Linked DNA regions of Alligator mississippiensis. The protein of the gene in region 1 interacts with the protein of each later gene in a biochemical or structural test. Links are inferred from orthologs where the notes say so. Each region holds a gene or a part of one and is shown in the gene's direction. Other genes may lie near its edges.

What was found. The genes of interacting proteins can lie anywhere in the genome.
Region 2: the proteins of RP2 (region 1) and ARL3 form a complex in vitro, tested with the Homo sapiens proteins (2 studies listed by BioGRID). The link is inferred for Alligator mississippiensis from reciprocal best matches to the Homo sapiens genes RP2 and ARL3.

Annotation. Positions count from the first base shown.
Region 1 is NC_081824.1:338,479,064-338,486,008, reverse strand, and holds the start of RP2 (protein XRP2), read left to right. Parts: upstream 1-3,931; 5' UTR 3,932-3,999; coding exon 4,000-4,113; intron 4,114-6,945. UniProt on the Homo sapiens protein: Acts as a GTPase-activating protein (GAP) involved in trafficking between the Golgi and the ciliary membrane.
Region 2 is NC_081829.1:99,164,113-99,171,550, forward strand, and holds the start of ARL3 (ADP-ribosylation factor-like protein 3), read left to right. Parts: upstream 1-4,433; 5' UTR 4,434-4,536; coding exon 4,537-4,539; intron 4,540-7,438. Other genes in the region: SFXN2 (sideroflexin-2), read right to left, coding at 267-437, 898-1,070, 1,357-1,386. UniProt on the Homo sapiens protein: Small GTP-binding protein which cycles between an inactive GDP-bound and an active GTP-bound form, and the rate of cycling is regulated by guanine nucleotide exchange factors (GEF) and GTPase-activating proteins (GAP).

The DNA of each region.
Region 1 (6,945 bases):
ATGTGCATGTGGCTCAAGTATTGGGTTAAAAAGTCACCTCAAGACCCATCCATGAACTGTGGTAGAGATCATTCTCATATTGAGGGACTGCCGGCAACAGGGAGCTGTGATGCACCAGAAATTACATGGTGGGGACAATATCTTTTATTGGATCAAATACGTGGTGGGTGGGGGTGGGAATGAAGTTAGACAAGCTTTCTGATCTTTCCAATACAAGACTTCCTCCTACAGGGGTGTTGAGGGGGCATTTTCAATGTCATTTTCAGGCATCTTCTCAAAAACTGGGCAAGGCTGGGGAGATGCTCCAGGTGGGCTGGGGCAAGGGGGAGGCATGGGTGGGAACTGGAGCCCTGTGGTGGATGAGATCCATCTCGCATAAGAGCCAAGTTATGCACATGGCTTGAAAGAGCCTTGCTCCCAGGCCTCTGGACTTGGCAGGCCTCTGAAAGGGAAACACCCCTGGACATATCAGATCTGGAGGGAGATCTGACTGCACCTGTGTGCAGTTAAAGACTCGACTTGTGTCAGGGTTGATGGAAGCTTAGGTTATGGATTTATATGGGATAGTTTGGACAGGGATGATCCTGCCTCAGGTGGGGGGTTGGACTAGACCTCTGGAGGAACCTGCCAGCCCCACTTCTCTATGATTTCTAATTGCTGGACTCTTATCTAGGGCTGCAGTGGGCTGAACTGCATGGTACTCTTCCTGACATGAGCCATTGTTCTGAAACCTCACAGTGCAAAATGCTGGAAAGTTGCCAGGGGAAGAGAGAAACCAGGGACTTCTTTTGCAAAAACTCTTCCACGCCATCCCACTTTCTGATACCCACCCGGCCCCTCCCTTCTCCAAAAAGAAAAACAAGGAGAGAGGAAATTCAAGGAACAGTTTGAGCAACTGATTTCTGTCTCATAGTTTCATAGTTGTAGGGTCGGAAGGGACCTAAGTAGATCATCAAGTCTGACCCTCTGCCCTGGGCAGGAGTGAATACTGGGGTCATATGATCCCAGCTAAGTAATTATCAAGCCGCCTCTTAATGACCCCCAAGGTAGGAGCCAGCACCACTTCCCTTGGAAGTTGGTTCCAGATCCTAGCTGCCCTGACTGTGAAGTAGTGCCTTCTAATGTGCAGCCTGAACCTACACTCAAACAACTTATGGACATTATTCCTTGTTACTCCGGGAGGTGCTCGGGGGAACAGGGTTTCTCCCATTCCCTGCTGGTCCCCCTTGGTGAGTTTATTGATGGCCACCAGGTCCCCTCTCAGCCTTCTCTTGTGAAGTGAGAAGGTCCTGTAGCCTCTCCTCGTAGGGGCTGCCCTGCTGTCCCCAGATCATGCGAGTGCCCTCTAGACCCTCTCAATGCTGGCCACATCCTTCCCAAAGTGCGACACCCAGAATTGGATGCAGTACTCCAACTGTGGCCTGACCAGTGTCACACAGAGGGGGAGGATCACCTCCTTGGCCCTGCTCGTGATGCATCTGTGGATGCATGACAAGGTATGGTTAGCCTTACTGACCGCGTCCTCACATTGGCGGCCCGTGTTCATTTTGGAATTGATAATGACTCCAAGATCCTTTTCTGTCACTGTGCTTACAAGAAGGGAGTTCCCCAGCCTATAGGTATGCTGCTGGTTCTTACTGCCCAAGTGTAACACCCTGCACTTGTCAGTATTGAATCCCATCCTATTCTCAGTCGCCCACCCCTGTAACCTGTCCAGGTACAGCTGTATCCTGTCCCTCCCTTCTAGCGTGCTCACATCATCCCAAATCTTGGTGTCATCAGAGAATTTGAACAGGGTGCTTTTCACTCCCTTGTCCAAATCGCTAATAAAGAGATCGAACAGTGCGGGCCCGAGGACCGAGCCCTGGGGTACTCCACTGCCCACATCCCTCCAGGTTGAATATGACCTGTCCACCACCACTCTCTGGGTGCGGCCCCTCAGCCAATTTGCAACCCATCTGGCTGTGTAGGCATCAATGCCACAGTCGCCTAGCTTTTTAATGAGAATGGGGTGGGAGACAGTGTCAAAGGCCTTCCTGAAGTCCAGAAAGACTACATCCACCACGACACCTGCATCCAATGATTTTGTGACCTGATCATAGAAGTCAATTAGGTTGGTCTGACAGGACCTGCCCCTAATGAAGCCATGCTGGTTGCCCCTGAGCATCATCCCCCCTACTGGTCTCTCACAGATGTGCTCCTGGATAATTTTCTCAAAGAGCTTCCCCAGGATCGAAGTAAGACTAATGGTCCTATAGTTGCCCGGGTCCTCTTTTCTCTCTTTTTTGAAAATGGGGACCAGGCTGGCCTTCTTCCAGTCTTCTGGCACCTGGCCAGAGCACCACGAGTGCTCGTAAAGCCATGCCAGGGGCCCCTCGATAACCCCTGCCAATTCCCTCAGAACCCTGGGGTGGAGAGCATCTGGACCTGCTGATTTGAACACGTCCAGCCCCTCCAGAAGTTCCCTAACTCGGTCCTCCCTGACCTAGGCCTGGTGGAGTCCGTCCTGATCCCTCCTGAATCCCAGTGGGGGAGGTGTCCTGGTCCCTGCACAAAAACATGGAGGCAAAGAATTTGTTAAAAAGGTCTGCCTTTTCCTCTGGTGCAACGATCAGATTGCCAAGCATATCTTGCAGGGGCCGCACGTTACCAGGTGCCTTCTTCATACTCCCTATGTATTTAAGAAAGGACTTTTTGTTGTCCTTGATCCTTGATGCAAGCCCTAGTTCTGTATCTGCCTAACAGCCCCACAACAAACCTGAGCGATGGAGGTATACTCCTCTTTGGTGATAGCCCCTCCCTTCCACTGGATGTACACCTCCTTTTTGGCTTTCAGGCATTCCTGAATGCCTTTGGCGAGCCAGGGGAGCTTTTGAGCACTCTTTCCCCCTTTGATTCTCATTGGAACTGTCACCCCTGAGCTCGGAGGATTGTCTCCTTAAGGAATGACCACTCGTTGTGGACACCCAGTTCCCCTACCCTCCAGGACTTCAGTGCCTCTCCTACCAATCTCCTCAAGTCATTGAAGTTGGCCCTCTTGAAATCAAGGGCTACTGCCTTGCTGCAGGCCCTTGACACCCTGTACTGGATGGTGAGTTCCAGTAGGTGATGATCGCTGTCGCCCAGGTGGTCGAGAACCTGGAGTCCCCTCACCAGGTCGTCGCCTGTTGCCTGGACCAGGTCCAGCAGGGCATTCCCCCTGGTGGGACTGTGCACCTCCTGGGTTAGATTTTCTCTGAAAAAAAATCTGCAATTTTCAGATTAAGAAAAGTAACCCAAAATCCACATTTTTCCATGATCAAAATGAAACACCACTATTTATCTATCTAGATTTAGATATCTATATAAATATATGAAGTGAAAATGAAATTGGGTGAAATGAAACACTCTATGAAAACATAGAGATATAAAAATGAAATGCCACTAATACATAGAGATATATATTATATATATCTATATAGAGATCTATATCTTTATTGATATAGAGATATCTATGTATTAGTGGCGGTTCATTTTAATCATGGAAAAATGTGGATTTTGGATTACTTCCTTGAACCTGAAAAGTAGCGATTGTTTTTACCAGAGAGAACCAAGATCCCTTTTCACTACACAACCCCACCCTCTGGCCGTGGGCAGGGAAAGCCTGTCCCTTTAAGAGGGTCTGCAGGCTCTTCCACAACGCTTAGAGCTGCAGCGAGTCCTGGGGGGCGGGAACTGAGCCCAGGGGGGCACTGCTGATTGGTGGACAGGGCTGGAGAGCGCCATCTGCCCATTGGTCGGGGGGGTTGGGAGAGAGGGGGCGGGGCTTGATCTCGGCGGCACAAAGCTGATTGGTGAGTAGGGCGCGGGAATGCCGTGTGCCCATTGGTTAACGTTAAGAGCGGGGGGCGGGACCGTGGTCGCCAGGGGAGACGGGGAGGGTGTGCGCCCGAAGCCGGAAGTAGCCACTGGAGCGGCTACGTGAAGGCAGGGCGCGGCGGCAGTGGTGGCGGCGGCACGATGGGCTGTTTCTTCTCTAAGCGGCGGAAGCCGGGCAAGGCGCCACTGCCCTCAGACACTGGAGCGGGGAGCGAGGACACGCAGCCGCGGTACAGCTGGGACCAGCGCCCCCAGGTACGGCCCGCCCCGCTGCACCTCGCTCCTGCCCCCCGCTGCGGGGGCGGCTCGTGGCAGCCGTTGGGCAGCGCGCTCACCGGGCGGCGGTGGGCGCTGACGTCACCCCCCCCGGGGGCTCTCCGTGCGCTCGCGGCAGCCGGTAGGCGGCTACCCGGGCGGCGGTTGGTAGGTGGCGTCACAACCCCCGCCCCGCCCCGCACCTGTGGGGCCGTGACCTCCCTGCCAGCTGTGGGCTGGGGGCGCCCCCTGGCATGGGGAGCTTGCCCCCCCACACACACACACACCTTGTGAGCTGGGGACTCTGCCCTGGCAGGGAGTGGCAGAGGTGTGACTCCAGACCAGGGTGCACCCAACTCCAACGATTAAAAAAAAAAAAAATTAAAATTCTGATTTTTTTTATCAGATTTTTTTTTTGTAACTTTTGTTAACGTGCTTTAAAAAAAAAAGCATATATAAAGATAGGTTTAATTTAACATATGTTAAAGCTTGAAGATATCATCATGGGATAGGGTTGCCAACCCTCCTGGGCTGCCAAGTATGTTCCCAGCCATCTATCTCCCGGTGACTATTAAAAGCAACCTGGGAGATTGATATTGTAAATGGGTCAAGCGGTACAACTAATGACATTACGTTTTGTTGGGGGTAAAAAAATCTCCTGGAATAGCTTCAGTCAGAGTTGGCAACCCTGTCATGGAATTGGGATGATAACTTCTAATTGTGTGCTGGTTGAGACCATGCATTTAGGTAACTTTTTTAGAAAAGTTTTACAAATAGCTTACAACAGGCCAGGGACTAAGTCAGGGGCTCAATCTTATGGGGTTCCCAGAGGCTCCTGTATGGATGAGCAAAGATTAAAGAAGCCCTACATTTCTGTGAGTCTGCGTAAAACCACTCTACCTAATAGGACTTGATGGGTGCTCAGTCTAGAGGATCTCATGAAGCATCTCTGTGATGCTTAGTTTCAGTTCTCAGGCTGTAGATCAGTGTCTCCAGAGAGAATATCCTTGTTTACAGCAGTATATGGAGATGAGAGAACAGACCTGACTACCACCCATTAGCCCTCTTGTCTCTCTGCAAGTTTGTGTACACAGTCAAGCCTTTAGTTCTCTCTAAAAGTGCAAAGTTTCAAGAAGTTAAATGAATAAAGGATATTGAACAAGAAGAATGCACTTTTTGTAGAAAACAGTGATTAAATTGAGGCTTTCTGACTGGTGATTTAAATCATAATTTCAACCACTTAAATCAATTTGGTTCAAATCAAATCCACCCTGCTCCAGACTGGCAAAGTGAGGGTGGCAGGAGCTGCTGGGATGGACATGGCTATCATTAGGGATCCTGGTTTTCTCTGACTAAAAAAACTCCCAATGTTCAGATGATAAAAAGTAACTCAAAATTGACATTGGATCCTGGTACAAAAAGGTTGAGAACCACTGGAGTAGAGGACCTCTGGAGATCCTTTCCAGCCCGGCTTCCCTGTGCCTGTGTGGCAGCTTGGTGGAGAGTTGTCCTGTAGGGGAAGATGCTTCTTGGTGTTAGCTGATTCCTCAGGGGGATGGAAGTGGCTGCGATCTTTAAAGCAAGTAGCAAGTTGGAAAAACTTGCAAAAGGAAGTTGTCTTTCACCCTGCCTGTAATACAAGGATGGGACTCATCATTCCCAGATGTGATGGAAGCTGGCAGCGTAGCCAGATAGGACAGCCAGCAGCAAAGCTAGAAGGGGATTGGAGAAATCCTTGGAGGAAAGGGTAGCTATTGAGCATGGGAGTGAGGGATACAGCTTCTGAATCATAACTTCCCAGACCTTAACTGCTGGAGGCTGCATGTGACAGAGAAACAGATTTGGGCGGAGCAGAAAACCCTGGTCATACCCAGTTCACTTCTCTTTCAGCATCTACTCTCTGCTACTGTGTGACAGACCTGTTTGATGTGCAGTGGGGACATGGGCCAGTGCCTACCAGGTGAAGTTGAAAGCCCCCTTTAATCTTGGGGTTACAGGGTGCACATCAAGCGATTACAAGGCACCACTAAAGAAAGCGGGGATGGGAGTGAGGTGTGTGTGTGACAGAATGCTGGCCAAGATGGACTTGTGATCTGACCTAGTAAATGGCAGTTCTTATGTTCTTCAGCTGTTAAGAAGAAATTGAGATAACAAGGTATAGAGTGGAAACTTGAGTCTGACTCTCTTGTTTTTTACACATGTACCCCTTTTGCTGCAGATTTTACTTGGTGTTTGTGATATTGTTGTTCTACTGATGCTCTGTTCTTCCCTAGCCTTTCTGCTTGCTCAGGAAGAAGGCAATTCAGAGGTTTTCTTGTTAACCCCACATATACAAACAAGTAAACAAATGAAAACCATAGGTCACCTTCCCTTGTAGAGGGGGGGAAAAGGTGCAAGCCCGTTGCTGTATGTACTTCACAGTTTTAAACTTGGCTAGATGCCTCAGTGTGTCACCTCAAGCTTTCAGAGGGATTAGGCCAAGCTATGAGGTTAAGTCTATGAAAAGCTTGTTCGGGCAGTCAGTGTGTGCAAAGATAAAATGCTGATCTGTTTTTAGGGGAGACTTGTAAGTACAGCTTGAGTAGTACAGTAAAAGGAAAGGGGCAAACTTCACTGCTCCTGGCAGTTTCCACACAACAGCAATAAATTGAACTTAAAGTAAGCCAGGATCACTTTGAGCTGTAGGTGAAAGGTAGTGCAGCTACCCAAACATTCATTTAAAATTATAGCAGTTGAACTAGTCAACTGAATCTTGCTAACAGTGATGATGAGCCTAATACAATTGTAGCTACAGATAATTCTCAAAGCAAGGGCAGGAGGGAAGTAAAATCT
Region 2 (7,438 bases), on another chromosome or scaffold:
CCCAGAAAGGCTGGCATGTTGAAATGTGGCAGAGGAAGAGAGGGCAGGATGCAACGACAGCTTGGGCCAGGACGGGGAGGAGAGGGAGGAGGCTGCAACCCCTTGAAGGGCGCCCTGGCATGCAGGAGACGCCTGCTGCAAGCGAGACCTGCTCATCACGTTGCAGCACGCCGTGAGGGCGAGATCCCGTCCAACAGCCTTTTCCCACCAAGGGGCACTGGTCCGCCCCGTCCGCCCTGGCTCCCAACCTGTCCAGGGAGCATTACCTGTAGAACTGGAGCATGAAGCCCGTGATGGCCATGCCCCCGGGCACCTGGAACGACATCCTCCCGATGAGGTTCATCTTCTCCCCGCTGTCAGGGTGGAAGGCCGAGTCGTAGAGCTTCTTGGCATACAGCAGCTGCTCCTGGCTGGTCCCCGGCGGCACGACGCCTGCCCTGCCAACCAGAGAGCCATCAGCACCTGGGAGGCACCCACCTGGGCACAGCTGTGCCCTGCCGTCATGATCCTCCACCCATGATGTCCTGCCAAGGTGCCTGAGGCAGGGCTCTGCTGAAAAAGGGTTTCCCCCTGGGAGAGCCTGGTTTCCCCCGCCATGGGGCATCAGGGAGCTATACACCCAAATGACACGTGCTCCAGTACGTGGGAGCCAGGCCGCCCGACTCCTTCCACCAGATCTCGCGGTACCCCGGAGCCCTAGGTTCAAACTCCCCCCGTCGGCAGGAGTGCAAGGCTTTGCTCACCTCTTTCCTACCCGCGGGGGCTGGATGGGAACCCCCACCGGGAGGGCTCAGTGAGGAGCCTCGTGCTGCGTGTCGCCCCCATCCCAACCCCTCAATGGTTCACGGTGTAGCCCTGAGAAAGGCCTCCAGGCGCCTGGGCTGCCCAGCTGTGTACCTGCAGCCTTGCACGAGCACCTTGGCCCTGTCCAGCTCTTGCTCCGACACCAGCACCGTGCGTGGGTCCGTGATGTTGAAGAAGTGCTTGAGGCGCCCCACGAACGTGGTCTGGTCCCACCGCGGGGTATCGATGTCGAAGCTGGCCGAAGCGGGTGCCATTGTAAGGCGGAGCTGGAGAAGGGGAGCACTGGTAAACGGACCCCGCTCTCCCATGCCCGACACTGCCCAGAGATCAGCCTCCGCAACCAACCTGTCTCTGGTAACGCCCCCCGTCCCAGGCCACCCCGCAGAAGCCCAGGGAGAGAGAGAAGCAGTGAATAAGCCCATGTCATGGGCTCGTCCGCACTGCGAGACTCTCCCAGCATGGCGATGTAGGGCTTGCTGGTGTTCACCCAGCAAAGAGGGACCCAGACCCCGACTTCAGCCCCTACCATACAAGGCATCAAGCCAACCCCACCTTTGCCATCTCCTGTTGGTTCAGGGCCATGACGAAGTATTGCACCCCACCCAAGCCGAGGTAGGTCCATCGGCAAAATCCTCCTTTGGGCACGAGCGTAACATGGACAGGTCCACGGTCACATATCTGCACAGCGCCTAGCATGGGGTCAGAGCCCCTGGGGCTCGGCCTCTGTGCAGGCAGCAATCCCCGCTAGGCTCCCGCTCCAGCACGACACCAGCTCCCGTGTCCAAGGTCAAGGTCAAAATGGCCAAGTCCATTGACCAAGGAGGTCAAGGGTGCCAGTAGCTCCAAGCAGCTGGAGGGGGACACAGCAGCTTTCACCTGTGCACCATCCCTGGTGCATCACCACCTAAGCTTTATTATAGGGACTGATGTGCAGCGATGGGGGCGATTGCAAGCCAGCTCTTAACAAACCAATACAACCCACCAGCTTCCATCGTGCCTCGTAGACAGGGATGATTCAGACGGGGCTGGACCAGACGTGGCAACCAGAGGGCCCTGCCAGCCCGACCTCACTATGACTCTGTGCCCAGCACAGGCCGTGACTTTTATCCCACTCGGGAGCTGCTCCCTACAAACAGGGACCGAGATCCCCATCATGGCACCAGGATCCAAGAGCTGCTGGCACGGAGGTGGCCATGTAGCCACCGTGTTCGCTGGCTAAGCAGAGCTGAAGCAGGGGCATATCACAGAGCTCTTAAACCAGCCCTCTGAGCCCATCATCGGGCCCCTCTACTCAAACTGATCCCATTTGGGGTCAGGAAGGAATTTTCCCCACCATGATCAAATTGGTACGGACTGGGAGGGGATGGTCATTCTCCATAGCACGGCGCATGGCTTCTGCCTGGGATCTCTCGAGCATCCAGCCCCTCACGACTACAAAACGGCTCAGACAGCCCCCCACTGCCAAAGGGGTTTGGCACTACAGATTTTTATTTGAAATCTGGGCCGAGCTTGTAAATCACACGTAGGCAGTTGCAATGCTGCGCGCCACCCTTACAAGGATCTCACGGGACCCCCAAGCTGCTGCAGCACCCGGGTGGGAATCACGGGTCTAACCAAGCCATGGCTGGGGGGTAATACTGAATATGGAGCCAGATCCGACACTTCTGCAACCCTGAGAAAGAAACCTTCCCTTGGACCTCCCGGCCTGACTGCTTCACCACCTTGGTTTAATGTTTCGCAGGCCCCCGATCCTAAAGCCCCCCCACGGCTGTGGGTGCTTCGCTGGGGACCCTGCAGCCTGGGCTGAAAGAGCTCGAGAGCCCTCCGATCCTTTCCTTTGAGGCCAGCGACGCTGTCCCAGGCAGGGCTTTCAGACACTGCAGCTGCCCTCCAGTCCCATGCACTCCTTTAAGTGTCCCGGATATCGTTGTTGGGTCTGCAGAGGTTACAAGCTCCATCTGCCACGGATACTTCACAACGAGCCCCAACATTTCCAGCGGGAACCTGCCACGTTGCTGATTCCACGATCCTCGTAGGGTCAACACGAAGTAGGATCGTGTTTGAGGTCTAGTGTGGCAGCAATGGCGAGAACGTGGGCCTGGGAGGGGTTTCACTGCGACCTGGGACATCCCCACTTCCCTACGGCTCCTTGCAACGAGGAGACTCACCTGCCTCCCCAGAGCTGGCTGCAACCACCAACCGCTGCCTGCAGCGCTCTGGAGGTGGCGGCACCGGACGAAATAGCCAACGGCTAATGGTTGGGAGCAGGGGGAAGATCCTGGGATCCAAGCACTGGGAACAGCCCCATGCCAAAAACTCCCAGGCTAGGAGGAGGTTTCAAGCTGACTTACCGTGAGCGCGGTCCCAGCTGCCGGCTCTTAGCTGGAGCTCGCCAGCTGCGCACACACCGAGTCTTAGAGAAAGTTAATTATTCCCTGGATGAATGCAAAAAAAAGGTGACTTATAAAGCGCCATCACTGCCTGGGAAATGCTGCATCTTTCGCAATTCTCTGGGGCACTTGACGGGACCCCGAGGATCCTCACGAGGCACTTGGAAGAGGGGACGCGCAGCCTGCGCCCGTTTCAGACGGGGGAAATCGTAGAAGAGGCAGCGGCCAACCGGGGCTAGGTCCTGCTCCGTGCCCGGGGTACAGGCAGATTAAGGGACATGCCTCGGGACACCCAGGAGGGCAGTAGCAGAGCTGGGAAGCGGCCCGGCCTGCTCTCACGGGGACGGGGGTGGTGAAGCGACGGCGTCGCGAGGGCCCCTGACCCCGCTCCTGTCCCGGTGCCCGCGGGGGCAAAAGGCGCCCAGCGTCCCGCCATCCCCTGCAAAGCCTGGTTACTAATTGGGGACGCGGTCAGCCCCGTGAACCCCGGACGGGCGGGTCCGGCCTGCGAGTCAAGATTAACCCCCTGGTTACTGCCCAGCGCGCCGGGCGGGCGGGGGTCTCGCTCGCTCGCTCGCTGACCGCAAACGGGGCTGGCAACAGGGTCCGCACGCCACCCCACGAGGCGGGGGGCGCCGTCAAAACGCTGCGGGCGAGGGCGAGGGGCTGGAGGCCTGGCGGAGGGGATGTGCAGCACCCCGAGGGGTAGCCCTGGGCTCCCCCACCCCTGGGTGTGCACTGCGCTGCACTGCGCTGCACTGCACCCCCCCGCCACAGCAGCCACATTCGCCCCGGGCGCTGCGCGGGGCCCCACCACGCTTCACTGGCGCACTGCACTGTCGAGCACTGCACACGCCAGCACTGCGCCCACACTGGGCATCGCTGGCACGTGCTGCTCAAGGCCACGCTGCACAAGCCAACGCTGCACAGGCCCACCTGCGCATCGCTGGCACGTGCCGCACTACACCGGCGCACTGCAACCCCCCTCCCCCCGCACTGCACGCGCTGCCCCCCTTACCTGCCGCGTCTCCATCCCACGTGGGCGCCGCCGGCGTGGCCCGCCCCGGCCAATCAGCGCCCCGCAGCCACCCCGCCCCACCCCACCCCACCCCGCCTCCAGCGCCCAACACGCATGCGCCCGCTTCACAGCCCGGGAGGGGGCGGGGCTGGCCTTCCCCACCCCTTCCTCCTCCTACTCCTCCTCCACGCGCCGCTTCGCGCACGTTCCGTCCTTGCGTGCCTGCGTCACCGCGGCGGCGGCGGGGGGGGGGTGACGCTAGACGTCGGCGGCGCCGGCGTGCATGACGCAGTTGCCCATGGTAACCCGGGAGCCGCGTAGAGGATGGTGAGTGCCGGGGGGGCGCGGGCCGGGCCCGGGCCCGGGCGGGGGAGGGGAGGGGAGGGGAGGGGCGGCACGGGGGCCCCGCCAGGGAAGCGGGGCACGGAGCGGGCCCCCGCCAGGGCTGGGGGAGGGGCTCCCGGCGGCGGGGTGGCAGTGGCAGTGGGGTTGTCGTGACCAAACCCCACGGGTGGGCGGGCGGGCGGCGTGGCAGCATCGCCGTCCTATGTCCGCCGGCGGCGACGGGGCGGCACGCGCCGTTTCTCTCTGCGCCGAGGGAAGGCTGGTATGGAGAGGACTCCCTCCGCGCGCGGCGGCGGTGACCGGCGTCCGTCCGAGACAGGACCGTGCCGCGGCGTTCGGGAACAGGGTCCATTTCACAGACGGCAACACCGAGTCGCAGGCATCAGCCGGCCCCGCAAAACACCCCGCGTCGGATTCGGGGATCGTCGCCCCCGACCGCGAGCTGCCGGAGACACGACTTGAAAACCGGCGTCCCTCGAGGACGCCTGGAGAGCGGACCGAGGAGCTCCGCGACTTTCTCCTCCTCGTACGAGCCCGTTACGTCAGGCCTTTGCTTTAATTAGGTCTTAAAATTGGCGCCGACCGCCGGTAGCCGTCAAGGTACGGCCGGAGAAAACGTGTCGGTATTCTAGAAAAGAGACCTACGTTTCACGCGGGGAAAGGAGCAGGTTGGCAGCGTCCCGGTTGAAGCGCGTAGATGCAGGTTTCACGCGCGAGCTTTCTTCCTATGGAAATCTGCCCAGACTTCCTCCGCTCGGCTTCCTCGACTTTTTTTTTTCCCCCCTCCCCTCTGTTTTCGTAGAGCCCGTTTAATTTTGCACGTGCAAAAGCTGGAGATGTAGCTCTCTTGCAGGGCGGCAAAAGAGAAACCGGCGTGTGACCTCTTTTGACAGAAAGCTGCGTCAGTGGGTTTGAGCGGGGAAAGCTGTCTAGGTGAATTGAATCCGGCAAATGTTAGACTTCGGCACGGAAAGAAATTGCCCGCATTGAATGACACCATATGGTGGAGACACAGCAAGCTAATGACTTCATTGGGAGTTTTGCCAGCGTAAGAAGTACTGAATAAAGTGCGCTCAATAGATTAATTTACTGTGGTTGTATTTCGAAAAAGGCTGGGTGATTGGATGACCGTTAGGAACATTGTGGCGATGCGGGCTCGGAGAAAGGCAATCAAACGTCATTCATCCGGGCATCAGTCAGTCAGGTGCCGCCGTCGGGAAGGATTCCCCCCCCTCCACACGCGTTGCATAATGATGCGCCGCACGTGAACTGCGGCTGACGGCGAGAGATTGGGTACAACACACCATTTGCCCGAAACGGCTGGTGAGTCCGGTGTAAATCCAGCCACACCTTCTCCAAAGACCCTCCTTGCCTACCGTAGTCCGTGATCGGGGCTCCTAGGTTGCGGATCGAGAGTCCATGCTGCTCAAACACACAGTAGAGAGACGGTCTCTGCCCCACTCGGCGTACAGTCTACCCATGAGGCTAACGACCACGTAGGGCTACAGACGCATTGCAAGGTCCAGGGAGCAGCGAGACAGTCGGGTCAGTGTGGTCGGCGGTGGTGACAGCAGTTCAGCTCCTGGGAAGAGGACAAAGTTTTTTAGGCATCGACGTCAAGGTGGAGAAGGAGGCTGTTTTATGAGGAGGCCTCCCCCAGCATCTGGCAGCAGAGGCGCCGGCTTGAAATGTAATCAGTTGGGGATGGAGGCTGGAACTGGGCTTGACATCGCAGCGGCAAAGAGGATATGAAGGGCCTTGAAAGTACAGACAAATAGTTTGCGCTTCATGAGACGGAGGGGTAGGAGCCAGCGGAAGACGCGAGGAGAGGAGTCGACGTGGTCCAAGCGATGGTTTGGGTAGCGAAACTCTTTGCAGTAGGCCTGTACTTGAGCAGACTTCGCTGGAGCTGTCGTTAATGCCACATCTGCTCGGCAAACATTTATTGGTAACCAAGGGCAGGTTTCCCAGCAGTTATATTTTATATTCATTATCTGAGCTTTGCGGCTAATGCAGCTAAAGAGAAGCTATTTACTTCTAGGGACGCGACTCTCTGCTCTCTTTTGACTGCAAGGCCCCATCTTTAAGCTCAGAACATAACAGGAGATTGTTCCCTCCATTACACCCTTTATATCCTCCGTTCCAAGAGGATATTTACACAGGTTATTTCAATGCTCTCTTCCCCCAAGACTAATTTCTTATTTGGCCTATAAATGTGAATCTTGCTTTGAACTGCTTCTGTGGCACTGAACGCAGTTACATGCATCAGCTAGTTCTAGAAAGCCATACAGCTTGGATTTAAAGCTGAATAAACCCGCAAACCCCATAGCTAGGTCTATAAATGTCATTGCATTTTTATATACGTGTAGCTTTTTTCCTAAAGAAAACAGGATTACTGCATGGAGCTGTAACAAAAAGTCCTTTGGTGATTCTGTGGGTATTTTAAAACCTAGAAATGACATGCTTTCCCTCAACCACACATCCTTATTCTCTGAAGGTTATGGTGGTAACTTTCCCTCATTTCCAGCTTGCTCTGTTTCTCTCTTAAGACGGCACATAATATTCAATACTGGGTTCTGAATTTTTTTTGAAACTGTGCCATATAAATATATATTGCAATATCTTCATCCAGAAAATGGCACTCTCTCACTGATGGTTATGTCACATCCTAACCTCTCTGCCACCCTTTCCCCTAGCCACGACAAGCCTGAGTTTTGCTGCGCTCATATTCCACCCAGAGCGCTGCTACGAAGGTCCTGTTCAAGACCCATCATTTTTGGTCCTTTACATCCATTCACCGGCTTCCTAGATCATCTCCCACCCCCGGCAGTCCATGATGCCAGCCTTTAAACAGAAACATCGGTGCTTTCTTCCATACCCG